Linked DNA regions of Nothobranchius furzeri. The protein of the gene in region 1 interacts with the protein of each later gene in a pairwise test. Links are inferred from orthologs where the notes say so. Each region holds a gene or a part of one and is shown on either strand. Other genes may lie near its edges. The genes, in order: lsm1, lsm4, psmb5, smx5, clic1 and psmb8a.

Evidence for each region.
Region 2: the proteins of lsm1 (region 1) and lsm4 interact in binary tests that used the Homo sapiens proteins (3 or more experiments, as listed by UniProt). The link is inferred for Nothobranchius furzeri from reciprocal best matches to the Homo sapiens genes LSM1 and LSM4.
Region 3: the proteins of lsm1 (region 1) and psmb5 interact in binary tests that used the Homo sapiens proteins (3 or more experiments, as listed by UniProt). The link is inferred for Nothobranchius furzeri from reciprocal best matches to the Homo sapiens genes LSM1 and PSMB5.
Region 4: the proteins of lsm1 (region 1) and smx5 interact in binary tests that used the Homo sapiens proteins (3 or more experiments, as listed by UniProt). The link is inferred for Nothobranchius furzeri from reciprocal best matches to the Homo sapiens genes LSM1 and LSM2.
Region 5: the proteins of lsm1 (region 1) and clic1 interact in binary tests that used the Homo sapiens proteins (3 or more experiments, as listed by UniProt). The link is inferred for Nothobranchius furzeri from reciprocal best matches to the Homo sapiens genes LSM1 and CLIC1.
Region 6: the proteins of lsm1 (region 1) and psmb8a interact in binary tests that used the Homo sapiens proteins (3 or more experiments, as listed by UniProt). The link is inferred for Nothobranchius furzeri from reciprocal best matches to the Homo sapiens genes LSM1 and PSMB8.

The regions. Positions count from the first base shown.
Region 1 is NC_091757.1:36,768,260-36,773,212, reverse strand, and holds lsm1 (U6 snRNA-associated Sm-like protein LSm1), read left to right. Parts: upstream 1-1,207; 5' UTR 1,208-1,338; coding exon 1,339-1,384; intron 1,385-1,510; coding exon 1,511-1,579; intron 1,580-1,717; coding exon 1,718-1,833; intron 1,834-4,205; coding exon 4,206-4,376; 3' UTR 4,377-4,725; downstream 4,726-4,953. UniProt on the Homo sapiens protein: Plays a role in the degradation of histone mRNAs, the only eukaryotic mRNAs that are not polyadenylated. Probably also part of an LSm subunits-containing complex involved in the general process of mRNA degradation.
Region 2 is NC_091748.1:65,761,681-65,766,806, reverse strand, and holds lsm4 (U6 snRNA-associated Sm-like protein LSm4), read left to right. Parts: upstream 1-1,799; 5' UTR 1,800-1,936; coding exon 1,937-1,939; intron 1,940-2,748; coding exon 2,749-2,790; intron 2,791-3,275; coding exon 3,276-3,374; intron 3,375-3,879; coding exon 3,880-4,060; intron 4,061-4,140; coding exon 4,141-4,247; 3' UTR 4,248-4,758; downstream 4,759-5,126. UniProt on the Homo sapiens protein: Plays a role in pre-mRNA splicing as component of the U4/U6-U5 tri-snRNP complex that is involved in spliceosome assembly, and as component of the precatalytic spliceosome (spliceosome B complex).
Region 3 is NC_091751.1:63,252,266-63,257,468, reverse strand, and holds the start of psmb5 (proteasome subunit beta type-5), read left to right. Parts: upstream 1-1,975; 5' UTR 1,976-1,981; coding exon 1,982-2,272; intron 2,273-3,683; coding exon 3,684-3,990; intron 3,991-5,203. Other genes in the region: prmt5 (protein arginine N-methyltransferase 5), read right to left, coding at 67-227; psmb11a (proteasome subunit beta type-11a), read left to right, coding at 792-1,808. UniProt on the Homo sapiens protein: Component of the 20S core proteasome complex involved in the proteolytic degradation of most intracellular proteins. This complex plays numerous essential roles within the cell by associating with different regulatory particles.
Region 4 is NC_091756.1:60,994,999-60,999,975, forward strand, and holds the start of smx5 (smx5), read left to right. Parts: upstream 1-1,773; 5' UTR 1,774-1,850; coding exon 1,851-1,853; intron 1,854-2,042; coding exon 2,043-2,110; intron 2,111-2,438; coding exon 2,439-2,469; intron 2,470-2,555; coding exon 2,556-2,615; intron 2,616-4,977. UniProt on the Homo sapiens protein: Plays a role in pre-mRNA splicing as component of the U4/U6-U5 tri-snRNP complex that is involved in spliceosome assembly, and as component of the precatalytic spliceosome (spliceosome B complex).
Region 5 is NC_091759.1:8,284,424-8,289,445, reverse strand, and holds the start of clic1 (chloride intracellular channel protein 1), read left to right. Parts: upstream 1-1,818; 5' UTR 1,819-1,913; intron 1,914-2,169; 5' UTR 2,170-2,183; coding exon 2,184-2,225; intron 2,226-5,022. UniProt on the Homo sapiens protein: In the soluble state, catalyzes glutaredoxin-like thiol disulfide exchange reactions with reduced glutathione as electron donor. Reduces selenite and dehydroascorbate and may act as an antioxidant during oxidative stress response.
Region 6 is NC_091759.1:22,778,099-22,782,543, forward strand, and holds the end of psmb8a (proteasome subunit beta type-8), read left to right. Parts: intron 1-1,061; coding exon 1,062-1,266; intron 1,267-2,577; coding exon of another isoform or gene 2,578-2,594; exon of another isoform or gene 2,595-2,694; intron 2,695-3,152; coding exon 3,153-3,241; 3' UTR 3,242-3,408; downstream 3,409-4,445. UniProt on the Homo sapiens protein: The proteasome is a multicatalytic proteinase complex which is characterized by its ability to cleave peptides with Arg, Phe, Tyr, Leu, and Glu adjacent to the leaving group at neutral or slightly basic pH.

The DNA.
Region 1 (4,953 bases):
AGAACCCCGGTATTGCACCCCACACTTTCCTATTCTTATTTTATTACTTTTACTAAATTACACCACTAAATGTTTTAACAAAAGTATGTGACCACACTTTGTGGGCGTCACACTTGTCCATGTAAGGCCCTATAGACCAGAACCAGGATCTTGAAATGAACCCTGAAGTTGACTGGCTGCCAGTGAAGCTGGAGGAGAAGCGGGGTGATGTGGGTGTATTTGGAGGACTTTCTCAGAAGCCGAGCACAGGCATTCTGAATCACCTGTAGACGGTTCAGGGAGGTTCTGCTCAGACACGTGAAAAGAGAGTTACAGTAGTCAATGCGTGAGGAGATGAAGGTGTGGAGAACTGTCTCAAGTTCAGACGGAGACAGAATGGGACTCAGCTTAGCAATGTTCCTGAGATGGAAGAAGGAAGAGCGAACAAGAGAACTGACATGAGAATCCAGGGTGAGAGCTGGGTCAAAGGTCACGCCAAGATTCCTGACAGAAGGTTTGGTGTGGGAAGCAAGCTGACCAAGAGAGTCTCTGACTTTGGGAACCAGCTTGTCTGGGGCGCAGATGAGGATCTCAGTCTTATCTTCATTCAGTTGAAGAAAGCTCCCAGCCATCCAGGTTTTGATAGAGTCTAAGCAGGTGTGTAACAGCTGCAGCTTAGACATCTCATGGGGCTCAAAGGAGATGTACAGTTGGATGTCATCTGCATAAAGATGGTATGGAGATTCCTTTGAAGGAGCTCAGGATGTGCTGAAGAGGAAGCAGATAGAGGAGGAAGAGTATACAAAATTTGCTTTTACAATTTCCCATCACCTATACATCAAAATTAAAGTGAATTTTACAGAACAATCAAGAGTGAGGTAAGTATACTTATAAATTTATTAACTTATTATAAAACGCAAGGGAAAAGAAAGAAGAAAATACATTTTACAGTTTAAATGTATCAACTACGTCTTTTGTTTTTACAGCCTTTTTATTATTTGAAGAGATTGAATCCAAATAATAATAATAATAATATTACCATTATATTATTATTATTATTATTATTATTATTATTATTATTATTATTATTATTATTATTATTATTATTTAGGGAGTATAATGCATGGTATGTGCACGCATGCACCGTCTGTAACACTCCACGCCAGAAGGTGGCGGTAGTCAAACATTTGCCAACAGCCAAAAACCACCAAAAAAGAAGAACGGGTTAAACGTTTACAGGAAGTTCACCGTGAGCATGTATAAAGACACTTCCTGTGGTCTTGTTCAATAAACATTTTAAAACATTCATGGCTTGACGGAACACAGGGATATTAAAACGGAGAAAACCTAAAGACCAATATGAATTACGTACCGGGGACTGCAAGCCTTATTGACGACATTGACAGTAAGACAGAAGCTGAATTTTGTAGTTGTTGACATGGTTTAGTAGAAAATGTTTGAGTCTCGATATTTACGTACACAAGCGAGTAAAACGCATATCTAACGTTCATGTTTTGTTTTCCTCCTGCAGAAAAGCACCTGGTGCTGCTCCGAGATGGCAGGACGCTGATTGGTTACCTCAGAAGCATCGACCAGTTTGGTACTCTTATTTTTAAAAGTCCACTTTGTTTTCTAACTCCGCGTCAATACAGATGGAAGCATTTCTAATTAATCGGTCAGCTGATGATCTCCGCACCTTATATTTCATTTCAACTGATTTTCTGCTTCTGTTCTTCAGCCAATCTGGTGTTTCACCAGACCGTAGAGAGGATCCACGTGGGGAAAAAGTTTGGTGACATCCCCAGAGGCATCTTCATCGTCAGAGGAGAAAATGTAGTTCTGCTTGGAGAGATAGTAAGCTCATTTTTTAAAATCTGAGATATTTTTATTTAGATCTTTTATACTTCATTTATTATGTCCCTATCCCAAAATGGGGTCAGCAAATGGAAATGAATTAAGAAGACATTCTTTATTTCTGCATAAACATTCTTCCTTAATTTTTACTTTGAGTTATACCTCACACAGAGTGCACGTGATGACGTATGAGAAGTTAAAGGTGGTGTTTGGAACAGCCACAGCTTGGAGAAAAATGTTGTTTTCGACGGAGTAACACACGCTTATGGCTAGTCCGAGTGGGGTCACAAAGTGTTTTTGCCAAATTAACCAAACCCAAAATATTTTATAGTATTCCATGCAACTTCTATTTTGTTAAATGCACGGCACCTCTTGGAGCATTTCTGTGGGAAATTAACAGAAATGAACTGCATCTCCAGCTATTGTAACATTTTTTTGGCTGGAATTTTATTATGATTCTGCTGGAATAAACACACATTTAAGGGAATGTTCACTTTTTAATATGCTGAGAAATTTTGAAGATGAGAATTTGTGACTTTTTTTTTTCACTTTAATGCTCAATCATAACTAATCAGTTTCTCCGAACCAAAGCAATTCTATGAGCTACAGTCAATAAGTTGGATATCAGCGGTCTACAACTTTTCCACATCCGTCCCACTTAAAAAGATGAGAACTGGCCCTTTAAGGTCTGTTTTAGTAGTATTAAATAAGCTACCTGCTTATATTATGTCTTATATTATTCAGGGCACATTTTTCTGTTTAACTGGGAAAAATTCAGATTTTTTTCCAAGTAATTTTCTGCCAAGCAGCTAATGAGTAGTTGGCGTCTTACCTGCGGTGGACAGTCGGGATCGTATTTAGATCTCATGATGAAGTCCAGCGCTTACTCAGCAGAATTATCCTCATCACACACTTTAAACTAGATTATAGAGTTTTACATTGCTGCACAGCAGCAGACTGCTGAGCTGGCTTTGGTTAGCTGAAGTGATTCACACAGACACCGTTCCTACCCAGAGTAAATGGACAGATGCAACAGTGCTCTCCACCACCCTGCATGGACAAGCAGGTACTGATAACGGATGGATGGGTGCAACAGTGCTGTAGTGTGGAGAAAATAAAGAACTGCAATAAGCATTTCCTCCTCAGACGCTATGGAAACCTTGTAGGGAGATCTGTGCTTAAATGGGTCTTTTTCTGAATAGTTTGACTTGATCTCAGAAATGAAGCTTTGCAAATTTCTTCTAGAGCCAAATTTAATAAACGGGAGAATATATTTATTTTTAAAGTCACATGCTGTTTTGATTACAGTGCTTGGTAAACTTTGACAAAAAAGGACAATGCACTATTTGACATCTGTATTTTACTCTTACTTTACTTGAACTTTTCCCCAGTATTGTAATTTGATTAAAATCTGCGCTCCTTGGCAGGCTGATGTAATGGGTGAAGACTTAAAGATAAATGGCTCATATGCATATTTTTAGGTAATGCAGAGAAACTATTATCACTACTTAATGATACAGGTGCTGTTTTAAGGATTTAAAGCTCAGTAATGTTTAGTTGAGGGGGGGTGGGTGGTAATCTCGGTATGAGCGGACTTATGGGAAAGCTATCTTGGGGTTTTACCTCCAGTGAACAGATTTTGATTTTGTTTTAAACGAAATATTCATTGCAGAGGGGCCAATTAAAAATATAACCGTTTATGTAGCGTCTATGATTGAATTTTACTACTTTATCCATTATTTTCACAGCTGATTTCTATATTTATCTTTTTGTGAGTAATTTTTTTTTTACTCTCCTGGTGTAATTTAGGGTTATGAAGTTTAACTTGTGAGAGAGATTCTTGAGCTGATCTTTGCAGTGACCCATTCCAGGGGCTGAGGACCTTCTAGGCCAGCACACAGAACAAGCGTGACTCATGATCTCCAACTTATCTCGCTCTACAAATGTACATCATGCAAATCTGCACTGACACCAGTACAGCCTGTACTGGTGGAGCGTCTACAGCACACAGTGACACTTCTTGTTACCAACATGTATGTAAGGATGGGCATCTTAATTTTGCTTTGCAAGATGTTCTCATCGCTTTGAGCTTCATGGAAGAATTAAGTTATGTCCTGTTACTCACTTATCACTCATTACTAATTTATTTTCAATTTAAATAGCTGAAAATAAGCTGTTAGGCAGTGATTCCCTCTATATGACAGGTTTGCTGCTCTTCACTTAAACAACTAGCCATCACAACTCAGACTAGTACAAGAGTGGAAGTTTGAACCATGTGAGGGATGCAAGCCTGCCAGAACATTTAGTATCACTTAGCCACAATTTGGCTTTGAGTTTGCTGTTTGACCTTGGATGTGTCTGCATCCCTGCAGGATGTGGATAAACCCTGTGACACGGTCTTGCAGCAGGTCTCCATCGAGGAGATCCTGGAGGAGCAGCGACAGCAGCAGCAAACCAAGCAGGAGACGGAGAAGGTCAAAATGCAGGTGCTAAAGGACCGAGGCCTTTCCATTCCCAAAGCGGATAACATGGACGAGTACTGATGTCGCCATTTTTCACGAGCGTCTTTCTCAGTTTGTATCAGACTGCTACATTTACGTTGGAAATTAGTGTTTTTGTCTTTTAATTCCCAGTTGGCTAAAGACGGCATCATTTAATTTTCATTTAGTATTGAATATTTTGTTTTAAAAGGAAAAGATGATCTGCTGTTTTATTTTTTGGTAATTCATGTCAGCGCATTAAATGGTATTGGATCATGATCATTATGTTGGTAATCCTTTCACAGAAACACTTTGTGATTATATTATTTTGCTATGATGTCTTCTGTTGTGGAGATTTGTGAGTCTGCTTTTGACAAACATTACTTTCCACCAATAAAGATTTTAGTTTGTATTTATGGAGCATATGCTTGTGGAAAGAAATAAAAATCCCTGAAACCCCCTGCAAGAACCCAACCCCACCAGCATTACCGTCAGATTCAGCATGGCTGTTCTCTTGTTCCATGTACTCACTAGAGGCAGATTTCATTTGGATAATTGAGTTGAAGCATATCAGTGCATCGGACAGCTTCCTGTTGTAGAGAGGACGGGTTGGAGAAATCGATCCTATTAGGCTTCATCA
Region 2 (5,126 bases), on another chromosome or scaffold:
GCGTTGTCCACTTCAGCCGCCTGGCCTCATGCACAATCTGTCCGGAGCCGTAGCAAACGGGTGTCTTCAACCACCAGCTGAAGCTGGAACAAAAGACGAGTTAAGTTTCATTTCGTCTCCCTTTTGTAGACTCTGGCGGTCCGGCGGGAGAAACTGTGTGGCTCCCGCACATGCGCAGAACTTGTTTCCGGTATTCGGCGGTGACGTCATCACATTGCTTCCGGCTCAAGGAATCATGGGAAATGAAGTTGTAGCTGGCGCTGATGTTTAATATTATCTGCTTTTTCAGAGCGCAGATGACAGTTTTTGGAGAAAATGCTGCATAGCAATTTTCTCATGAGGGCATGCTGGCGCTGGAACATATTCCAGCTTTTCAGAGCAAATGACACAGTCTTTTGGAGAAAATACTGAGTAGCAATTTCTCATGAGGGCAGACCCTCTACAGTAGCAACAAAGTATATAGCTATGGCATGGAAATCTCTCCATAGACCCAATGTGAAGAACTGGATGAAACAGATGTTACAGGTAATGCCGCTGGAATGGATTACTTATATCTTAAAAGCCAAGCAACACTTATTTGACAAAATATGGACACCTTTTCTAACATATATTAAGAAGATGGACATAAAAATCTGAGGACTTATAAAGTGGGAGAGTATAGGAAAATACTCGGTCTTCTGACCAGCATTAAGACTGGAATGGGAGAAGCAAAAGCGAGGTGTAATTCGGGGACTTCTTGCTCACAGTTTTGTTAAACATGTCTATGTGCATATTGCCTTCAGTACTATATATGCTCTTACGTTGGAGAGGATCGCCAAAAGCCGAAGCACAACCAAAATTGTTATATTGTTCTACTGTTCTGTTGTTCCCTGATGATTTTATACAGAATGTACTTTCAATATACAACATAATACTGTGTAAAAGGTGTACACAGAAAATTTAATAAAATATACTTTTTGAAAAAAAAATGTAGTCAAAGATCCATCAGATTGATATTTCATATTTCTATGGAATCTCACATTTTATGGTTCATAAGTAAGATGGAAACGACTCATTCTTTACAAGTGCACAAATAACTCAGATTATAAACTTTACAACATTAACAAAATATAGCACCAAGGATCTGTGCAGGACAACCTGCCAAGAATGTGCATTGTTAGTTATAGACGTTATGGTGCATTTAATCTTTAACTGACACCTCTAATGGTTTATTACTCTTAACATTTAGTATAATGGGGCAATTTCAAAATTTACCACTTTGCAATGGCCATGTCCTCCCATTTGAAGATGTTTGTCTTTTTATGCAAAATTCACTCTTGAAGACAAATAATTTGATATAATTTTTATGAAAGCTATGGCTTTAGTAAGACTGCTGCAGCCTTTTACTGCGGTCAGGCCTATACAATTAACAGCATCACATAATATCTTCACCAATAAATAAATTATGAAGTATCAACAAAAAATTTTTTACTTATTGAGCTCATTTATTCTCATCACGTTCTAACTGATTAAAATATGGAGTGTGTTCATAATTATGTGTTATAAATTACTGTAAAAAAGCTTTTCTGATCAAAGTGACTTACCAATGAAACTTTAGCACTGTTTATATTTTCTGCTGGTTTCAAACTACTCCTTCGGAAGACTCTTGTTTGTTCTCATAATTAAGAAAATGATCTATTCAGACACTTTTAAGTTTAAACAGTGGTCTCAGTGTGGCCACAAAATAAAACGCGCGGAGAGAAAGTGCAGGTTTCGACGCTAGGGGGCAGTGTGCTGTGGTGAAGCCGCCGTTTGTAGTAGAATAAGAAAACGCAGAAGGCTAAAAGGAAATCCTTTCCCCAGGCTGGATTCGACCGCCAGAAGAAGAAGAAAGCTGGATTCGACCATTCGCCACAGCCTTAGGTTCGCCGCGTAAAACAAGCTATAAACCGTCATAATGGTGAGTATCTAACCTCTAGTTGTGGGTAGTTGAGAATGTATTCTTTAATAGGTCATCTTTGGTTCGGCTGACGGAAACCGTGTTAACATTTTTAATAAATTATACCGAAGTGAAAGCTTTAAGATGCTAAGCATGTAGCTAAAATAAACCGTAACATTTAGCTTTATTCAGGAGCCAGTAGACCTACCACAACTTCAGAAGTGTTGTTGTGTTATAAACGTGTTTAAATGACCTGATTTAATTCTGTAGTTTTATGGGTTCGGGGTGAATTACTCTATATTCTCATAAGAACAGCAAAAATTACCTTGTTCCTCACACTGGATGCCAAATGTATACGTTTGGGTGTAAAAACTAGATTTTAAAAAGTTAAAGAAGCATGCAAAATACAGTAAATTAATCAAAATATGAACTGCAAAGAAACTATGCAGAGTTGTTGCACACATTTGTGCAAGTAATGTCCCACATTAGCTGGAACGTGTATCAGTTAGTTAAAGGCGGATTATAATCCCAGTATCAGATAAAGGTACAAAGTAAACAGGTTAATAATCAGACTGAAATGTTAATGTACCAAGTAGAAATTAAGCGTCAGGAGCTCAGCTGTTCAGAAGTCTGGTGGCTGTGGGAAAGTGTGTGCCTCCTGTCTGAAGGTAAAACTGTTGATGTTGGTGGTGAAGAGCCTCTGATCGGGTGGTTGCTCTCCAGTAGACTCTGGATTCTTGGTTTCATGCGGTTTATTATGCGTCAGAAATAATGCTGTAAATGAGGTCTATTCTGTTAAATTAGATTTCAATCTGGTGTTTTATTTTCAGCTTCCCCTGTCACTCTTAAAGACCGCTCAGAATCATCCCATGGTGAGGCAAAACCTTGATTTTAAGTCTGATATTCTTTACAATATTGTATCCTTTAGGCTGTGTCATTAGTTATGTGAAGAAGCATCTGTTCTCTATGTAAATAATAACCTGCTTTAGTAAATTACAAGTGAAACTTAAAAAAAATACAGTATGGTGCAAAAGGTCGTTTATTTCAGTGATTGAACTAAAAAGTGAAACTAATGTATGAGATGGACTCATTACATGCAAAGCCAGATGTTTCGGCCTTTATCTGTTATATTTGTTATGATTTTGCCTTACAGCTTATCAAAACCCCACATTCAAAATATCAGACAACTAGAATATTGTGAAAAGGTTCATATTCTAGCCTCAAAGAGTCACACTCTAATTAGCTAATGATTAGAGCTAATTTTTTGTTCTTGACTTTAGTTTAGTTTGTCTGATCTGTTATTAGAACTTGCTCATTGTATGATTTTTAGCTTATAAAGCAGTGTGCTCTTTATTAGCTGGTGGAGCTGAAGAATGGAGAGACCTACAACGGTCACCTGGTCAGCTGTGACAACTGGATGAACATCAACCTGAGAGAAGTCATCTGCACATCCAGGGTGAAACATGCTTCTCCCTTTAATAAAATGTGACCTTTTGACAAAGGGAAAATACCAAAATATTTTAATTTGCTTAATGTGCTTTCATATTTGGTCTCTCATGAGACATTTGTATGTACAGTATATTTGCACAACTGTGTTGTGAAGGACAGCCTGCCTATGTGAACTGAGAAGTCTGCAGAATCCTGCACTGAAACTATCAGAACAGCTTCAGACAACAGCTGAGATACAATGATTGATTCATAGTGACTGTAAGAACAGACACAGTGCGCTAACTGGACCATCAGTGACTGTAATAATTTTTAAATTGTGCAGCTTTGTGGTGTTTTTGTACATGTAAACAAAAGAAAGATGGGTGATCACAACTAAACATGATCATTTGCCTATTATCCCCTCAGTCGGGTTTATTGTGCTAGACTTTAGGTAAATTAACATAAATGCAAAATAGAAGTGTTATTAATTGAGGAATTTAATTTAAACAGAAACTCTCACCATCTTTTTACAGGATGGAGATAAATTCTGGAGGATGCCTGAGTGCTACATCCGAGGAAGCACCATCAAATATCTGCGTATCCCAGATGAGATCATTGACATGGTGAGGGAGGAGGTGGTGTCGAAAGGACGAGGTCGCGGCGGCTCTCAGCAGAATAAACAACAGGGCAAAGGAAGAGGAGGGCCCGGCCGAGGTGAAGGATGCCGTTTGATCAGGTTGGTTTTGAACTCATGTAGAATTGATTTGTTGGACTGAACACAGCTGTTCCTGTAGGTGTGTTTGGTGGTCGTGGGAGAGGGATGTCTGGGCCTGGTCGAGGACAGCAGCAGCAGCAGGATAAGAAAGCAGGAAAACCACAGGGGATGAAAAACCAGCACTGACACACAATGATGCTTCGTTTGTTTTAAACACTTCCTGTTGAGGGACGTCTGCCTCAGTAACAATGACATCAACTCTGCTGTTTCTCTCTGTTGTGATGTTTACAACAACCGATTGTTGCCAGATAATACTTTAGTTTGATTTTTTTAAATCCTTTTTATTGGTGTAGAAAAGTCGAGGCCCAAATTTAGTTTAGTAGATATTTTAACTGGCTTTTTCCTCATTTCTGTAGTTTACTTCCAGCTTTGTTATCTGAAAGATTTTCTTTATAACCACAGCTGGTGAAGCAGTAGAGCGACAGCCAACAGGACTCACTTCCTGAATATTTCTGTTTAAACCTTTATAAGACGGCATGCACTGATTATGCTTTCTGAAAAAGAATAAAACGTTCTCTTATTCTCTAGTCCAACATGGAGGAGTCCATACTTCCTTGGGTTGATTGTGTTTCGCTTAATTTTTGTAACAAACGACATGGTAATTTATTTACGAGAATAAAAGTTTGTTTGAGCAGTTGCAGTTTTCCTTTAAATCTTCTGATTGTCATTTATTTACAACAGGTGTGTTTAAACTGGACATGGCCTTAAAGCCAGCAGCTTTCATTAGCAGTAAAAGGGCAGAAGGCCCAAAGGGGAAGTAACACAAACTTAATCTGAATAAAATATACAGCAGAAAGTTAAATTTAAGGACTAATCACAGAATTGGATCATTTGACCTTTAAATTTTTTGTATTTTTGAGCCGTTGTGGCTACAGATGATAAAAACTAGAAGTTTAGCAGATATTTAGAATATTGTGGAAAAGTGAAATATAGTAAACTCATGACGTCACATCCTAATCACCTTATCAATGCCAGAGGCATGTTTTCAGCACCAACACACCTGGT
Region 3 (5,203 bases), on another chromosome or scaffold:
GGCAACAAGCGAAACTCTTCTAATGTCGTTACTCAAACAACAAATCGGACCAAACACGCTCCTCACCCAAGCTTGGCGACCGCAGCCAGTGTGTCAGCTACCTCCGGTACACAGTTCATATCTCTCCCGCAGGAGACCCTGCTCCCCGAACTGGCGGACGCCATGACTTTTACCGACTGAATGGACTCCAGGACCGTCTTGCTGGATCTCGGTGAAACTGACGCCATCTTGGATCCACCAGAACGTGCATGAATGCTGCATTTAAGGCATTTAGAGCTAAGATGGCTGTGGGAGAATGTCAGTTTCATATCTCGTAAAATCCCGCGATAATTATTTGCGCAGAGATTTTACAAAAACACAGAACAGTTTGTTGTTCCAATGTTTCTCCTTACGAATAAACAAACAACATTAGGAAAGTATTAAAAATAAAAGGTTAAAAATGTAATTTACATTTAAATTATATAATAATTATTTCCTCGTTTTATTAAGATCATGTATCAGAAACTCGAAAAGCAAACAAAGTAAAAGCGACTGATGTGAAACGTCTTAGATGACTCTCTGGCACTAAAGAGTCTTAGGTTTGCAGAAAGAGGCTTCAGCATATCCAATTCACAGCATAAAATATAAAACAACCGTAAAGCTTTCGGTCGTGTTGGTGCATGATGGCCTTACTGAAAGCTGTTAGTTTTGCATAGCTATAAAAGGGGAAGAGCACATCAGTATTGTCTGCAGAGTAGGCTTTGGGAGTTGACAGCTTTGTTGGGTGTTTACCGTACATCTTCATCTAACTCATGGCTTTAGAAGATATCTGTGGTTTTGAGGAAAGGCGTGTGCATCAGTTCTCCCCTTTATCATCTCTGGAGGATTCAACCTCATCTACTCAGGTGGCTGACTGCTACAACCTCAAATGGAAAAGATCAAAGACATCTGAGAACACTTTGCCACATGTCTTCATGCCATCTATTCCTTGCACCAGCTCTTTCATCAACAGAACCACGGATGGCCCTTCAGTGCCCACTCGCAGGCCTTTTCCTTTGTGCCATGGAACAACAACTTTGGGTTTCATCTTCCAAGGTGGAGTGATTGCAGCAGCAGACACGCGTGCCAGCGCTGGGGGGCTTGTTGCTTGTCCGGCTGTTCATAAGATTACCCCTATTCACTCTCATTTGGTGGTCACCTCCTCAGGTAGCGGTGCAGACTGCATGCTGTGGGAGCGTATTCTGATTAGAGAAATCAGACTCTACCAACTGCGACACGGCCGCCGCCTCTCAATACGTGGCTCAGCTAAGCTTTTGTCTTTTATGCTCCATCCCTTTAAAGGCACTGATGTGTGTGTGGCTCTCACTCTGTGTGGCTGGGATAAGGAGGAAGTTGGAACCAACTTTGGCAAAAATCTGGAGGACACATCTTTTATGACAGACTCTTCAGGTGCTATTAGTTCAGCGCCAGACTCTCTATCCCCCAACAGGGGTCCAAAGTTAATTTATGTGTGTAGTGATGGAGCCCGACTGCAAGGAGACGTGTTTTCTGTGGGTTCAGGTTCTCCCTACGCTTATGGAGTTCTGGATGGAAACCTGAGCTGGGGTTTGAGTAAAGAAGATGCCATTTCTTTGGCAAGAGAAGCAGTGTTCAGAGCCACCCACAGGGACGCATACTCAGGAAACAATGTAGACCTTTTCCTTGTTACAGATCAAGGGTGGATCCAAAGAAAGAGGGAGGACTTGAAAGAAGAATATTACAGAGACATGGAGAGACGGGTCCAAGATACAAAAGGAAAGGGAGAGGGTGTCAAAATAGAAAGTTACTAAATAAAGCAAAGCATTGTGTGTGTGTGTGTGTGCGTGTGCGTGTGCGCGCGCGCGTGTGTGTGTGTGTGTGAGAGAGAGATCCATGAAAACCTTGAAGTACATAGGACAATTATTTACGTTCTCAATCCCCCACAACCACAGGGGGCGCTGTGACATGTTTCAATTGTAGATGGATGATCAATCCAGGTCGTACTGCGCATGCGCAGCGGAAGTTGCTTGTTCATCACGCTCTTACAAAGATGGCTCTTGCTAGTGTATTGAGCAGCGATTGTGTGGATTTTTCATTTGATTACCGTCAGCCCTTCGCTGTTGGTTGTGGTCCCGGTCAGAGCGGTGTAGATTTGGAAGCTGCCCCGGGGGACAGTTTAAAATTTTCTGTTAAGAACTCGCTACTCACCGGAGACGAGGATGGCGTGGAGAGGAAAATAGAGTTCCTGCACGGGACAACCACCTTAGCCTTCAAAGTAAGTTCGCGTATTGGTTTAAAATAGGTGGTGTCAAATGTATCGGGAAGTGTATGCAATTCAAAAAAAACAACAACTTCCGATTAATTGTTTACGTTTTACGCTGTGAACGAGACTTTATATAACACGATGTGACGAGCGTTAGCTTGCTAGCTTAGCTACAAATTGCTTTCTCATGGCAGCTTGATTTTTCTGAGCATCGGTGTTTGCTAATGTTTGTATTTTCTTTGCGACTTTACTAACAAACATGTATTCTGTATGGTAACTTAAACCCACACTGGCTTGCTGTCTTACTGATAAATGAGATGATTTATGTTTGTGATCATCAGGCTGCAGTAAACATTCAAACAATCTGGTTTCTTACACCCAAAATCTATAGTTTTATGGCTATAAAAGAACATCAAAGTTCAGTTTAATAATCCTTTTAAACTTAACTAGGCATAGGCATTAGTTTTTATCTAGTTGGGGGAAAAACTACAATACATTTGACAAAGGAACCAGTGTAAACCAACAAGCACTTTAAGCTAGTAAGCACGTATTGCCACCTAATATTCAAAAGCTCTTCAACCAGAGCGATGAGGGATATCATTTACGAAGGACTAAAATGTTTAAAATGCCTAGGGTAAGAACCACTAAAAGGAGTTTCTGTGCATCAGTATGTGGTGTGAAACTGTGGAATGGGCTGCAGGAAATACACAAACAGTGTCCAAATATAAACAAAATTAAATCACTGTATAAAAAAATGATAACTAATGGATTTGAAAATGAGCTTCTCTGAAGTTATGGAAACTATGATATTGTCATTATTATTTTGCTGTTTTTTATGCTATTGTTGTCATTGTTATTATTATTACTATCACTAGTACCATAAAATGTTAATGCTCTCATTGGTAGCTGCATATATATATATATATATATATATATATATATATATATATATATATATATATATATATATATATATATATATATATAGATATATATATAGATATATATATATAGATATATTGATATATTGATATATATATAGATAGATATATTGATATATTGATATATATATAGATAGGTATAGATGGTAACTTGTAAAGTAAATTAGTAATGAGAGACAAGGGGGTGCTTGCTTCTTCTTATTCCCTTTGGACAAAGACTTCTTTTTTATTGGTATATCTTTTCTTTTCTACTATGTTTATTGATTTAAAAAAAATATTTTGTCTTATGTTCAAATAAACGTTTCAGTCAATCAATATTAGTTATTTCCGTAATCGTATTTTATTTTCACCACAGTAATTGACTTTGACTGGTGTGATTTTAGAGGAATGTGTTAAAGTTTGAGCTGAGCTTCAAGAGCATCTCTTAGATGGACTGTTCTCTTCTGTAACTGAATTTTCTAATGAACTTCTGCTTCTCTCAGTTCCAGCATGGAGTCATTGTTGCAGTGGACTCTCGGGCCACAGCAGGCTCCTACATCGCCTCACAGACTGTCAAGAAGGTGATTGAGATCAACCCGTACCTGCTGGGTACCATGGCGGGAGGAGCCGCTGACTGTAGCTTCTGGGAGCGCCTGCTGGCCCGCCAGTGCCGTATCTATGAGCTGCGCAACAAGGAGCGCATCTCTGTGGCGGCTGCCTCCAAGCTGCTTGCTAACATGGTGTACCAGTACAAGGGCATGGGACTCAGCATGGGAACCATGGTGTGTGGCTGGGACAAGAGAGGCCCAGGTAAATGCAGCAGATGGAATCCACAAGAACATTTGGTCTATATGGTGATCCAAAATGATCAGACAGATTTCCTTATAGAAAAAAAATTAGTTTTTCATTATAACATTTCCCCTTAAAGGGACTTTATGGTCTTTTGAATTTTTATGCTCACGATTGCCCCCTCAGGCCAAAAGCGTAACAGCAGCTTCAATAGTAGGCTCGTGCACGAGGCGCACATGCTGTACGTGCACACTCCTTAACGAAAATAACAGCTGAGACAGTCCCGTGTGTGTGTGTGTGTGTGGGGTTGACTGGCCCAGAGGACAGGAGAACGTGCAGCTAATTAATTAAATAATTTGGTTCTGTACCTTTCTCTTCAGCACAGCCGACAAAGGTTTATGATGGGTCAGTCCTCCTGCATGCTCAGATCATTCCCTTCCCTTGCTTGAAAAATTGTTCCAAAATGAAAGTTGAACCCACATCTTTTTTATCTGTGAATTCAATGCCGTTCGGCGAGTCTCAAATAAATCTGGGCATCTTACTGTAAAAAAATATACCATTAATGTAAAAAAGAAACTCTAAATAAACTATGTTCACATCCAGAATCAAACCCAGATCTTCTGCATGGGAGTCCGACGTCTTACTAGGTGAGCTAAAGCACTGGTGACGTCCTTTGTATCTGTAACATTTATATCCTTGATGACAGCTGAAACAACGTTCAAAGAACGGTTCAGAGCAAAAATGGCTATTTTGTTGCTAATTTGCAGGAAATATCTAGAAGAAAGTTCTACAGAAAGTAGCTAAGGGTCCTCAGAAATGTAGCTAGGTTCGTCACTAGGCGTTAGGAACAGGGACAAAGTGGCACTGTCTCACTCTCTGCTGCTAAAGCTACTGATAGCAAATGCTACGGGCTATGTCTGAGCGTGCCTGCTCGACCCGAGCATCTCTCTTTTTCTGTGATTTTACGGAAAAACAGGCAACCACAGTAAAAATGCCAGGGCTCATTCTACAGGACCAGGGCATTGCAGGAGAATGTCTGAAGAAGAAATTATTTCTATACATGTTTTGGCTGTCAAACTTCCATAATGCCCCTTAAACATCTTTTGTTGTGATCAAACTTGTGAAAATTAAATGTGCTGTTACTTTATTCAGCTGTGCCCTGAATTTATCGAAATACATTTGAGTTTAAACGGACTCACTCACTCGTTACCTTAGCCGCTTTTTTGTCTCTAGG
Region 4 (4,977 bases), on another chromosome or scaffold:
ATTATGGTTTTATTATTTTCATTTTACTACTCACATTTCTGATATTACAAAATAAACATAAAAAGTGTCGATAAACATCAACAGGCTTTTGGAGAGATACATTTCTAGAAATGCAAGAGGGGGCTGCACACAATCACCCTGAGTACCACAGATGGCCCCCGTGCCATACTGTGAACATGCCTGTTAGCATCTTTGTGTGTGTGTGTGTGTGTGTGTGTGTGTGTGTGTGTGTGTGTGTGTGTGGCGGGGGGGGGGGGGGGGGGGGGTCACCTAAAAACCTGAAAAACAAGGCAAATATGGGTCAAGCCTTACTTGTGTCAGCCTATAGAAACCAGGTTTGCTTATCATAATGGCAAAACATGCAAATAAAACATATTTAATCGTTAAACTTTCAGCCCTGGTTTGACCTTATTTTAAATAAAAAATAGGTTTCAAAGCGCTAGCAGAAATTTTGAGAACCAGTGAACTCCTCTAGAAAGATCATGGTGAGATTCTGCACACAGTCTGGGCCAAAACCAGTTCATCAGAGACCACCGACAGATGGGACTGGAGAGCAGAGACACTGATGGGACTATACCTGCTTGAACCTGAGGGACCAAGGCAATCAGCATGGATGACTGGTTTGAGACTGGAAGCCTTCCCACACCAGGGTGACCAGTATAAGGAGTAGGGATGGATTCCAGATGTGGTACTTTTTAAGGCACCGACTGAATTATGTGGTACCCACCAGGGATCAATTCTCCTACGACTGGCTTTTTCATATAAGAGGAAACCGTCTTCCCTTGCTGCAGAGTTTTTATGTTTACAGCCGGACCTTGAGTTTTTTGAAGAAAATGTGAATTCAATTCAACTCAAAGCTTTGTTTATAAAGTGCCTTCCGCGACCTTGTCAGGGAGCCCAAGGTGCTGTACACAGTACATAAGAAACATAAATCACAATGAATAAATAGAAAATAAAAGCAATTAAAATAGTGCAAAGGGGGTAAAACATTGAAGTAGAAACAAATAGATAAAACAAGGGAACTCATCTCTATACCAACCATTCTGTCCTGTTTTGCACCATACCAGTTTCCGTTTTTTATTCATTTATTTATTTTAATAAAAGAAGCAGACAAACGCCAAATGTGAGCTTGTCATAAATCTTGTTGCATTTTATCCCACTGTTAGACTGACTTCTTTTCTCTGCTGGGTTTATCTTATCACCTAATTATTAGACTATCTTATGTCCTTGCTTTAATGGGTTAAGGCTGTTTACAAGTTTGAGCACATCTGTCATCATCTGTTTAAATGTGTGTCATCTAATCACAATTTAAATCAACGCTGATTAGGATTTAGACCTATTTTTCACCAGTTTTCATTATTCTAGAAGAAAAACATACCTGCTGCACACAGCTGGGCAAAATAGGGCCATTTACATATATTTCATACGTAGGTAAGGCACACATAGGTTTATCCTATTTACCAGGGCTGCCGACTTCTTTAAAAGTCTCAGAGTGAGATTTTCTTTATTTTAACATATCTCTCTCTCTCTCTCTCTCTCTCTCTCTGTGTGTGTGTGTGTGTGTGTGTGTGTGTGTGTAGGGACGTGGACTATTAGGGTTTGTTACGCAAAGTGATATTAAGGCAGATTTAATTTTTCAGAGGCAAATTAGATGCTGTAATCACACTTAAGTGTGTAAAAAAACACAATGTTGATTAATTATGAGCAAAACATGTCAAAGAAATGGATACGATTCAAGCTGAATATGTTGAAGACCTCTGGCTCCCCCTGGTGGTAGTTGTCTGTATTTGCAGCGCTCCCTGATACGTCATCAAAAGCGGACGCGACTACTGAACAAAGCTACCGCAAAAATGGTGAGCTAACCTCGTTCAATATTCAAAATGTATTTAGCATGACACCAAACACATGACAGTTAAATAAGTCGTTACCTTAGTCTTTGTGTAACTGTTAGTGTTTCCATTCTCTCTTTGTTCATAAACTGTCGTGCTCGACGTGTAGCGTGCAGCTACACGCTAACGTTAGCATGTCGTTGTGCTCCGCAGCTTTTCTACTCGTTTTTCAAGTCTCTGGTTGGGAAGGACGTAGTGGTGGAGCTCAAGAACGATCTGAGGTTAGTGTTTTACGGCTTGGCCTCCACTGCTGTGATAAATCGTTGAAGCTGTTGTTCATTTGCAGGAAAGAACGCTAGCAATTCGACCCACTGTAGCACCACGTTGGAAACAAGTGGTCTCTAAACGCGAAGCTTTGAATGAACTTCTGCTAAAGCTTGAGCTATTTCTTTGTATATTCCAATGGACTTGTAGCTTATTAGTACTGCGACGTTTCTACACGAGTCTGACTCGGAAATTAAGGCAACCGAGCTAAACGAGCCATGTAGCCTATTCAAAAGTGTCCAAATGTTTGTTTTCTTGAATATTTATCCACACATCTGTTTTCAGCATCTGCGGAACGCTTCATTCTGTTGACCAGGTATTGAAAATACACTTTTTGAAACTCTTTCAGACAAACTTCTGCAGTTTTTTGACATTTACATTCCTACTCTTTTTGGTTTTTAGTACCTGAACATAAAGTTGACAGACATCAGTGTGACGGATCCAGAGAAATATCCACACATGGTAAGTAGCATACTTGAGACACATCGGTCCTAAGGTCACGTTGCTTCAGATGTCTGTAGAAATCTGAGGCTAATCTCACTACGAGTGTTTTCCACATTCACAGCAGGGTTAACAAACACAAACTCAGCCCTCTAATTGGTAAAAAGGTGTGATTATTCACTTAAACCAAAGATGCGACAGATTTTTGTTTTGTTTTCAGGTCGAGTACTAAAGCCTTACCTCTAGTCCTCAGAAAATAAAAATACAACTTAATAGGGCTGGATGAAAACTTATTTGTCAGTGTCCTTTTGCAGAATTCCAATTTTACAATATTATACCTCCATATTTTTTCTTCTGTAAATATTTGCAAGTTAACTCCCTTCAAGCTGTCTACAGAAAGTGTAATCATAAATTCATCAGCAGATTAAATGCACAATTTAATCAGATTCTTGTCAAACATCAACCTAAGTGCCATTCTCTATCAGTTTGAGCTGTAGAAACACTTGTACAGCTGTATGCTAACACACATGTAGGTTTAGATATTTATGCCGCTGGTTTGACCCGTCTCTCAGCACCAGCAGGATAAATAAATCTCCGTCAGCAGCCACGGTGAAAAGTAGCGATGTAAGACAATATCGATATGGCAATATATCGTGATGTTTTTTCCTGCAATATTATATTGATATCCAAAAGCCATGTGTTGAACTTTTTGGAATAGTTTACATGCAAACATTTGTGTATTTTCTTTTCTTTTGGTGCAATTCAAACACTGACCGCTAGCTAGCAGCAGTGTGCATTGGGTTTTGTTTCCACCACTGAAATATAAATCCCTCTATTATGGTTCAGATACCTCATGTTTAACATGTTAAGTATCAGTTTGGACTGTTTATTGAAATTTTCTACAATAAATTCAGTCTAAAAAATCGCTGATATCGTCTGGCTGAATGTATCGCAATATATCGTGATATATCGTATCGTCTTCCCTGTATCGTGATACGTATCGTATCGCCACAATTTCACCAATACACATCCGTAGTGAAAAGGCTCACTAAAACACGAACAAATGTCCCCAAATAATTAAAAACCACTAATCCAAATGCAAAGTTTAGGGCAGAAAATTGACCTAGAGGTTTCCTGATCGAGCAGACACGTGAGAATACATGTAATGATCGCATAGAGACAGAACAAGCTAGTGGATAGCAATAGCTGCACCTGCTAATGCTAGAAATTCACTGTTTTTATATTTATATTGATGTAAAGATATTGAGTCATCAGGTTTCTTGTTTGAAATTATATCCACATTTAAAAAATCTCAGCCCTACAACTGAAAGTAAATGGGTTTTTAACTAGAAATTTATTTCAACCATACTTACTCACAACTTGGCTTGCTCATGGGTATCTCCTTAAAAATGTATCAAATCTTGACAAACTAGTTTTATTTTTACCTGAAGTCATAAAAACTCAAGGAAAAGTGATTTTTAAATAGTCTAGATTAACTCACAAACCTGTGGATTTGTAGCCCACAAACGGTTGTGTTTTATTAACACTCTCTGCAGCAAAGATGCTTTTAGTTAATACGTTTACTCGGACGTTCCGAGGACTCACCTTTACCACAAGGGTTAGACTGAATGAGCTTTCCACCGAACGTGAAAGCGTCATGAAATGGACGCTAAACTTACCTCGCTGAAATTAGCCACCGTTATAGCGAATAGGTTCCTTTCTACCGGCGGCTAGTGTGTAAGTGGCAAAAGTGTACGCCATCGTTACGCTATTTGTTTATGTGCTACCCTTCCAAAACCATCAAACCGGCCGGACAGGAAGCCGAACACAGAGGCGGTGTCAAACATCCCAAAACGTTCTAAGTAAGTCACGTTCAGATAGACGTACATCATTTCCTTTGAAACCCCCGTAGCCAATGTAAACGGAACAGAACAGACCTTGTGGATACCTGCAGCTGTCTTTCTCCTTGCCTGTTATTGTGTGGTCTTCTGAAATCACATGTGCTGTTCTCCTGTGGTTTAGTGACATAGCAGGACCAGCTGCGTGGAACACTTTAGCTCCCTTTTCGCAGCAGAGTCACTCCCGGTGGGAAGGGAGCTCGCCGGTAAAACACCTCTATTTCATGACGCACAGCTTTTGCGTCAGGTGGAAATCCGGGCTTATGGAGCGTCACCAGAAAAAGTATTAAAAGTCACCTGCAATGTCTTCCTTTTGGTATTAACTCTTTTTTTTTCATTTGCTTGGTGGTTGTGTGTGTTTCTCATAGTACTAAGGAAAGAGTGTGTAAATAAGTATATATAAAAGAAGATTTATTGCTTAAAAGAATAAGTTTTACCCAAACAAACACACATTTTTCTCACTTTTGGTGCTTTTAGCTCGCATA
Region 5 (5,022 bases), on another chromosome or scaffold:
ACACGTGTAGTCAATAATTCGGCACTTTAGCGCATCACAATGAAAAGTGAATAAACATATGAATAATCATTATAACAAGCATAGGTTATGAACACATTAGGCTTAGATGAGTAAAATTCAAGTAAAATTCAAGTAAATGTCATTTAAAACTGGGTGATATAAATCACGTTTTAACGAGAACATTTCTCATGATTACGAGATACTGGTCCTGAGTTTTTTTCCCGCACTGACAGTAAAACGCTTCCGTACATTTGAATATTCGTTTCAGTATTTCAGCCCTATTAGCTCTGTTAGCCATTAGTTGACCAAATTTAACCGTTAAAATCCCAGTTAACTGGTTCAAAAAATTGAAAACATGCATCATGAGAGCGTACATACCTTTATCTTTCTCCTCTTTTTTCTTTTTTCTTTTCCTGAATCGGGCACCTGGTGGTTTTAGCCTTTTTATGTTCATCTCTTCTGTTTGGCTCTTGACTCAATAAGTTTCCTTTAGTCAGGACTAAACAATTTGACCTTGATGGGGGGGTGACCACAAAATCGTTTTGTTTTTCATTTTTTTATTCGGCCATTTCACACAATTCAGAAAAACCTGAAAGAATGATAGGCCTGTGTTTATGATATTATGAATGAAATGTGCGTTAAATGGAAGAACATCAAGATGTGATTGACTTTAGCCATGTTAATACAGTCGATTCAGCCCCTACCCTCCCATTTCATTTGGAAAGACCCAGAGGTGAATTCCCCCGCCGCACCCCTCCCCTTCCTCTTCTTCATACACACACAGTGCACGTGAACGTTCTCAGTCAGCAGGAGCGCCTGCAGCTGTAGGGGGCGCCAACTTGCTGTTTCCAATCCAGACTGTGATATGACAGATAATAGAAAACCTCAGTGAGGCTAAGATTTCTTTCTTTTTTATTTTTTTTTTTTTTACTCAGCGCTTGTACGCCCCTTTTGTGTCATGAAAAAATGCCGCCCTGGGCAACTGCCCTGTCTGCCCGTGCCTAAAACCGCTACATTATTATTATTCTGAGCTACTACAGCAATCAATTTCCCTCTGGGATTAATAAAGTATTTTGAATTTGAATTGAATTTGAATGTGCCTCTAATTATAATTTAAAAGCTTTGAAAACTTGATTATAACTCTAAAAAATATAAGTCTTGAATATAAAAGATATGCGCGTGCGTGTGACGTGCATAAAATCTTTCGGTCGTTTCATCAAATAAAATTTGTCACGCGCCACCCGGAAATAATTGTGTATTCAGATATTTATATGTCGATGATTCAGACTCACGTTCCCGGTGTTGTGCCAAAGTAGTTACCCCCGTCAAAAATTGTTTCCCCCATTCACGGGAGCAATACAATACTGTAAAACCAGACGTGATCATGGAAACACGTCGCTCTCCGGTGAATTTACACTCGGTTTACACTTTGTTTTTGTTGGCGTTGCTATCACGAAATAGTTTATTTGCAAAATAAGTCACAGTATAAGTACAGTATGATTTTTTTCTTCACAGCAAACGTTATGGAGGGATACAGATTTTATCAGGCTGTGTGGCCTCGGCTGCCAAAATGTGTGCCCCCCCATCAATAATGCACATTGGCGTGGCAATCACGAAAAACTTTATTTGCAAAATAAGTCACAGTATAACTAATAACTACAGAAACTTTGGAGAACATTTTCTTTTTTTAGACTTCTTAATTTAACGTTTAATGTTCTCCAAAGTTTCTGTAGTTATTAGTTATACTGTGACTTATTTTGCAAATAAACTATTTCGTGATAGCAACTTCAACAAAAACAAAGTGTAAGTGGTGTAAACCGGGGGAAACAATTTTGACGGGGGTAACGACTTTGGCACAACACCTGCACGGGAGGAGGAGAAATCAGCACCGCAAAGAGAAAACGTTCAGCACAGTGAGTTTATAAGTTTTAAAAAAGCTTTATTTGTGGTTTTTAAGCTTTTTTTATGACTTTCAGCTTGCTGCGAGTTGCTTTGTGGAGCGTTTCCGGTGAATCCGCAGCCGTTAGTGTTTCGTTTGTTTTGGATTTGTAGCGGAAGATGTGCTCTGCTCTCTCGCCACCGTTTCCTTTCTAGTACTGCCACGACCTCTAAATAAACTTCTGCTTTCTCACTACTTTTGTGTTTTCTCCACTCTTTTCCTCCGTGAAGGGTTCTTGGTGAAGATGAGCAACCCAAACCAACCCAAACTGGAACTTTTTGTGAAGGTAAGCTAGCGACAGATAGGGAACCTTCACAACCAGAAAAGTGACGCGGGGGCGGCGACATGTCTCCATCTGCTCCATCTGCTTTCTGACCACATTATTTCACCTTCAATGTCACATTTAAATGAGAATAGTCGTCTTCAGTATTAGATTCATGACCATTGCTGACTCACGGGGCTTACAGACCACTGTAATCTAATTAACTGCACATTAAGATACTTTCTATATTTAGTTTATTGGTCAGGCAGTTTAATCCCCTTTTCTACGTGTCGTAGTGGATAAAGCTTCAAATTTCACATAATTATTTCTTTCTATGAGCACGTGCGCTTCCCTCTTCTTTTAACTGTTCATGCATGAAAAATGCTGTTGTAACTTCTCTGAATCTTAGGTTTCAAAATTCAGCCCAAGTGTTCAAACATACTGGGAAAACATTTACCCCAGTGCAATTTATATGATCATTGATGTGTAAAAACAAAAAAGAAAACCAGGAAGAATGTAAGAATTTTAAGAAAATTAATCTGTTTGAAGCATTTCCTGTTTCGATTTAGTTCTGTAGCTCTCCTTTATGCTCGCTGCTGTTGCTGACTGTAAAGATGCTGACTGGTCGGAAGCTTCCTGACTTTGCAGCAGTGAAAATTTTAAATTATCAGGTTTATTTTTTTCAGTCCTTTTAGTTTGTTTTTTTGGAGCACACAAAAGACTAGAGGTGCTGAAAAAAATCGATTCAAGTCTGAAACAGGATTCTTATTTATAAAGATTCAGATTCGATTCACAAAGGTTCAGAATCGATCCCAAGAACTCAAATATTGGGCATGTTACAGGTTTGAGATGTACGTTTGTCTGTTTTTTTATCTTTGTTAGGAGAGTTAGTACTCCGTTTACTTTTGTGGTCCCATAAATTGAGCTGATTTATTTTTGAATCTGCTGATAAGCTGGCACTTGAATGTAATTTTTTCCATACTCATTAATTTGAGATACTCTCATATTTATTTTCCAAGTTGATAAGTGAGTACTCAGGATTACTCATGTATTTATTTTAAGTTATTGATAAATGAGAGAACACATTTTCCTTTGTAAGAAATCTGAGGTATTTTTTTAAACCGGTTGAGAACTGAAATGTTAAACTTGTTTCCACACATACTTGAAAAGTATTTGACTGTATTACTTTCAAAGCTACTGTTAGGTAACTAAAGATTTGTTATATTTTACAAGGTAAGCAAAAATAAATGTTGCCTTTTGGTCAAAAGATTGCTTCTGTTTACAGTTTTAGAATCACTTTAGTTTACCTTGTAAATTTGCATTTCTTGAGCATGACCAGTTTAAAGTAAAATGAAAATGTCCCATAGCTTTAACTAACTTGTACAACAAAGTAGTTAATCCTAGAACTGACACTCTTTAACACTGATTGTGAATTGATTTAAATCGAGAATCGATTCTGAATCGAATCGACTCCCAGAGAATCAGAATCGAATCAAATCGTGAGTTGCTCTAAGATTCACATCCCTACAAAAGACAAAATACAAAATGACATGAAAAATTAGTTGAAACTTCCACATTTTGTCCCTGTCAATCATTTGCCTGTTTGACTGCAAAAGAAAATGGCCTGTATTTGATATAGCGCCTTCTAGAGTCCTGGAACCCCCCAAGGTGCTTTACAACACAATCAGTCATTCAGCCATTCACACACACACACATTCACACCCTGATGGTGATGAGCTACATTGTAGCCACAGCTGCCCTGGGGCACGCTGACAGAGGCGAGTCTACCGTACACTGGCGACCATCACCAGCAGGCAAGGTGCAGCAATAGACTGAGCGGGGCTCTAACCTGCAACCTTTCGATTACGTGGCGAACACTTAACTCCTGTGCCACCGTCGCCCCAAAAGTATGAACTTATTGGTTGGATTATGCAGAATTGGATGCTTTCATACACTAGTTATGATTTATTTGTGTTCATTAAAGAAACAGACACATGCAGGTGTTTCTAAATCGTTCCCTGCTGTTGGCTTAAAGAACAAAAACTTAGACTTCCATGAACCAATGTTCAGAGAAACATAATAGAAACTCGTTTTTAATAACTTTTTTTTTACACATACATAAATTATTTTGGCTTTTAGAGTAATTTTTGTGAGGAATTTATTTGTTTTTGTTTTTTTTATATTTTATTGTTTTGCTAAACCAAGTGACGTCAGGTGAGGGAGTCCTGTTAGCTTAATCCGGAGAAAAATATGGATTCTAATGCTGGCACAGAGGAAACTTTAAATTATAATTATTTTTATGACGGGCCAAAACCATAAAGTTATGAGTTTGCTGCACACCCCAGAGAGCAGAGACAAACCAGACGGAGAAACGATCGGCCAAAGCAGAGAGATTGTGCTGCGATGTGAGGAGAAGCAGCAGGGGAGCAGCAGGTGTCTTGTGAGTTAATGATGCTAGCTTAACCCTCCCACTGTCCTAATGGGTGTGACCCCGCGAGGAAAGTTGACCATTGGGCAGGGTTGATGGTTTATCCCTTGAAGTCCATGTGGCAGGGGTGAGGAGTGGTCACCACATCACCCCTGCCATGTGGGCTGCATGGTGGCGCAGTTGTTAGCACTGTTGCCTCGCAGCAAGAAGGTTGTAGGTTCGAAACTCGTCTGTGGCCTTTCTGCGTGGAGTTGCGTGTTCTCCCCATGCATGCGTGGGTTTCCTCCGGGTACTCCAGTTTCCCGTACAGATCACAACATGCCCTACAAGTTAAATAAATTGTACGTCGCTTTGGATAAAAGCGCCTGCCAAATAAATAAATATAAACATAAA
Region 6 (4,445 bases), on another chromosome or scaffold:
TTTAGTTGATTAACTCTGCTCACCTCACATGGACTCACACTGGCTAAACAAAGAAAGAAAGTAAAAAAATAAACAGATTAGTAATTATATTTTAATGACTAGAACTGACTGATTTTAATGACTATATTTTAAATGCTATATTACTATAGTATACTGATTTTATATATTATATAAGTAGTTGATGGTTCAGCTGATTACAAATACAAATCATAATTGCTTATCATAATGCATCCATAGTCTCCTTGCATACAACACAATTTAAAGTGGATGGTAAATAAAATGAATAAATAAATAAATAAATAAATAAATTAATTAATTAAACAAAAGACTACACAAAATAAATCAGAAAGAAAGGCAAACAAGAATAAATTCAAACCACAATACATCCATTTACATCAACTTCCAAACTCTGTTACAAACCATTTCAATAAATGTATCCAACCTGGAAAAAAAAACTTTCCCAATAACAACATTGGCCTGTAGCTAGAAAAGCTATCTCTACTCCCAAACAATGGAATCACTTCAGCAATTTTCATGCTGTCAAGGAAGACTCCCGTTGAAAGTGACAGATATATGTAAATGGACCAATTACAGACTATTTTATAGTCATCATGTCCAAATCCTCATAATCTGTTGATTGTTTTCTTCCACAATTTTGTACAAATGTTCTAATTTATTCTTTTTCTACTTTGTCAAGGAAAGTATTATTGACATTATTTACTATTGTCCTAAAGCTATCTTCCACAATTGATTTACCCAACAGATTTGCACCAACACTTACAAAAATAAGTCATTAAATTCATTAGTGATTTCTTTAATATCATAAATGTCTTTATTCACCATGGCAAAGCAATCTGTGCCTCCTGATTTTGTTTCTTCTATGTTAGTCATGTTAATTATTCCCTATGTAGCTCTTGTGGCACCTTTGTTCTTACGTAGTAGGTCACTATAAAAACACATTTTTGTTCTGTAATTATGGTTCTTAATCTTTTATATATATATCTTCTCCGTCTTTTATTAGCAGTTTAAAGAAACTGAGTTAATATTTGTGTTTTCTGCAGGGTCCAGGTTTGTATTATGTGGATGATGACGGGACTCGTCTGTCTGGTCGGATGTTCTCCACCGGTTGTGGTAACGGCTACGCCTACGGCGTGGTGGACAGCGGCTACAGGGAGGACATGACCGTCGAGGAGGCGTACGAACTCGGCTGCCGCGGCATCGCTCACGCCACTCACAGAGACGCCTACTCTGGTGGAGTAGTAAACAGTGAGTAATCTTTAGTGATACTTGATTTTATATTACTTTATTTTAGCACAAGGTATTGCAAACAGATACCATTAACTGCACAGTCAGTTATTTTGTCCAAACTGGTTTCTTACTGGTTGCATCAATCAATAAAATTTCTTTGAGAATGAAAATATTTTTACTCCAAAGAAAAAATATAACTACTGGGAATTTTAGCGACTGACATCTAGGCGTTTTATGTTTTCAGGGAAGTTAATTTATGAGCTATTAACTCATTCACTGCCAGCCATTTCCTGATCAGAAAAGCCCTTTGCTGCCAGCGGTTTTCAGCGTTTTTTACAGTTTTTTTAAGGGTCACAGAACATTGCGCACTAGGATAATGTCAATGACAAAACTACCAAAACAAAGAGTAGACTCACCTCTTGCATCAGGAATAATCCGCACGCTTCGAGCATTATCCTTTCTTTCATAATCTGTTGCCGAATTGTGATCGGCAGAAGCTTTTCCGGTTCGCGCCTCACTTTTTTTTTTTACAGCAGTGGCCCAAAATGACCTCCTAATGCTTGGATTTTCTGCTTCCTGATCTCATGATGTGTGACATACGTGAATGAAAATCGGCTTTCGAGTTGGGATGTGTGCTCTTACAGTGCGGGGGCTCATTCTGACGCCCACACTGTAAAAAAAATGCAAATGACGACTTTAGTCGTCATTGGCAATGAACGATTGGATTTAAAATGACGACTTTTGTCGTCATGGGCAGTAAATGAGTTAAGTCATCTTCTCAGATGAAGTAATTATGAAGCTGTTACTCTCACACTGCTGGTTGGACCCAAGCTGCAGGTGTGGAACCAGGAGGCAGGCAGGTGCACTCAAAAGTCCACCCATCCATTTCAGCCGCTCATCCGGAGTCAGGTCGCAGGGACAGAGAGGGCCGGCTACTTGGTTCAGTTCCTCCGGGGGAATCCCAAGGTGTTCCCTGGCCAGCTGAGAAACTTCCAGCATGTCCTGGGTCTTCCTTCCCAATCAAAAGTATTTTAATAAAAGTCAAAAAAGGAACAAGAGGGAGCTAAAGCAGGAAACAGTAGGAGTGAAACAGGGTGTATCAGAAGGATCGGTGAACCAGAGCCACTTTGATCCTGAGGGAAATAATTATTGGGACAGGTGAGTTGATGGGAAACAGGTGTGAACACTTTAACTGGGTGCTGAATGACTGTGGGTCGGAATCTGTGTGGCTTCCACACACCCCTAAGATCATTGAGTCCAATCAGAGCATTCACACCAGCTGCGGTGTGGACCTGTGAAATCTTTCTACATGGTCTCTATTTTTTCCAGACGCTGCACGACGCTGATTGTCATGAAGTCAAAGAAAGTACACGAGTCAGACAGGAAGTGAGACGTGTGGCAGCGAGACGCATCCCGTTTATTTCACAATAAAACCTGTTGCATCATTCTGTCGGCTTCTTCTGTTATTATTACATTTATACCAGTTCACTGTGTATGATTGTTCAAGAGGACGAGTGTGGCTGCTGTGTACCAGTTCCTCTCTACACAAGTAGTTGCTGTCGTGAACTCACGAGCAACTTTCCAGAGATGCTCCAAACTGGATCTGCAGTCGGGGGAAATGGCGATCCATCCAGAAGCCGTACGGATTCCAGTCTGCATTCGTTCCACTCTGGGTGTAAATAAAGCTTGATAGTTACATCAAGCAGCTGATTGATGTGATTCCCATCAGCTATGAGATGGTTATAGTTCATGTGCATGTTAGCAAAAATGTACACATTTGGGGGGGGGGGGGGGGATGTACAGGAGAAGAGTGGTAGCTGTAGTTTGAAAACATTTTTTGAACGTGAAATTATTTTTTTGTCTTCCTGCTGATGTACATGCATGTGTTTTTTCTGTGTGTGTAGTGTACCACATGAAGGAGGACGGCTGGATTAAAGTGTGTAAAGAGGACGTCTCAGAGCTGATCCACCGCTACAGAGAGGGAATGTTCTGAGATCAACATTTTGTTTTCCACCGATGTTTAACTGGAATGGCACGTGTGGACGACCCTAACCGTTTCTCACAAGCTAACTGGTTCAGAAAGGATTTTGCGTTAGCTAAATAAATAAATAAATGACCAAAAAAAATACACGTCTCCCAATAAAGACTGTTGCTAAATTAGTGTTTTGGTCGTTTTCATTTAAAAAGTGTTACAAGCCCTTAGATGGAAGTTAGTTGTGGTGGAGGGGTAACATTTTTTTCTCATTTACAGATTATAATTTTACTACATCTGAACTAATTACACACGTTACTTGTGAATTGTGCTGTTTAAATTAAAATGAACATTTCCTCACTCGTATTACTGCCAACATTTGTGATTTTCATGATAGTAAAATTTACATTTTGGTAAATTTTCACACTTTAAATTCACTTTGGACAAAAGTATTTGCTAAATAATCACAAAAATGTCTGAAGGCTCGATCGCAATTTGCTCTGAGTTTGTTGCTGTGAAGTTTCACTCAGAAACTGAACTATTCTGAAGGTTTATATTCAGGATACAAAAGCAAACAAATCAAATCATGGTGCCTATTCAAATCAAATCTAAAACTCTACAGAAAAAGTAGAGAAATCACTTTCTTATAAATGTTTTAGGCGATCCATATTCTTTTGTTGAAAAGAACAAGCAAAAATACACGGATACTACTTGGCAGTATTTAGTGTCAGTTGTGTATTTAAGTCGAGTTATGAACACACACAAAAATCTGGATTTTAGGGATTTTATTTAGGAGCAAAAAAATAAAATTACACACAAACTAATTCATCTTGTTGATATTCATTGTCTGAGAAAAATCAAGAAGTCAAATACAGCATAACTGTTTAACCTCTTATTGTCCTATAATAAAGAAAAAAGCCACGCATCCCATATTTTCTAAATAATAAATTCTAATCCACAAAAAATCCTTAACCAAAACCTAAGATTATAAATCAGATTAAATAAACCCATGAAAACAAACAAGATCATATAAAAGAAGCATAAAATAAGTCATTCACAACAAAATGCAGTTAAAATAAATTGTTTTCAGATTTTATGAAATTAACTAAATATTCAATGTAACCCCATCTGTTTTACTGCTCTTTCAGAATAATGTAGGTTTAATTTATTATTATTGTATGATTTGTGTGACTGAGGATTCCCTGGAAATTAGGTTAACAAATGA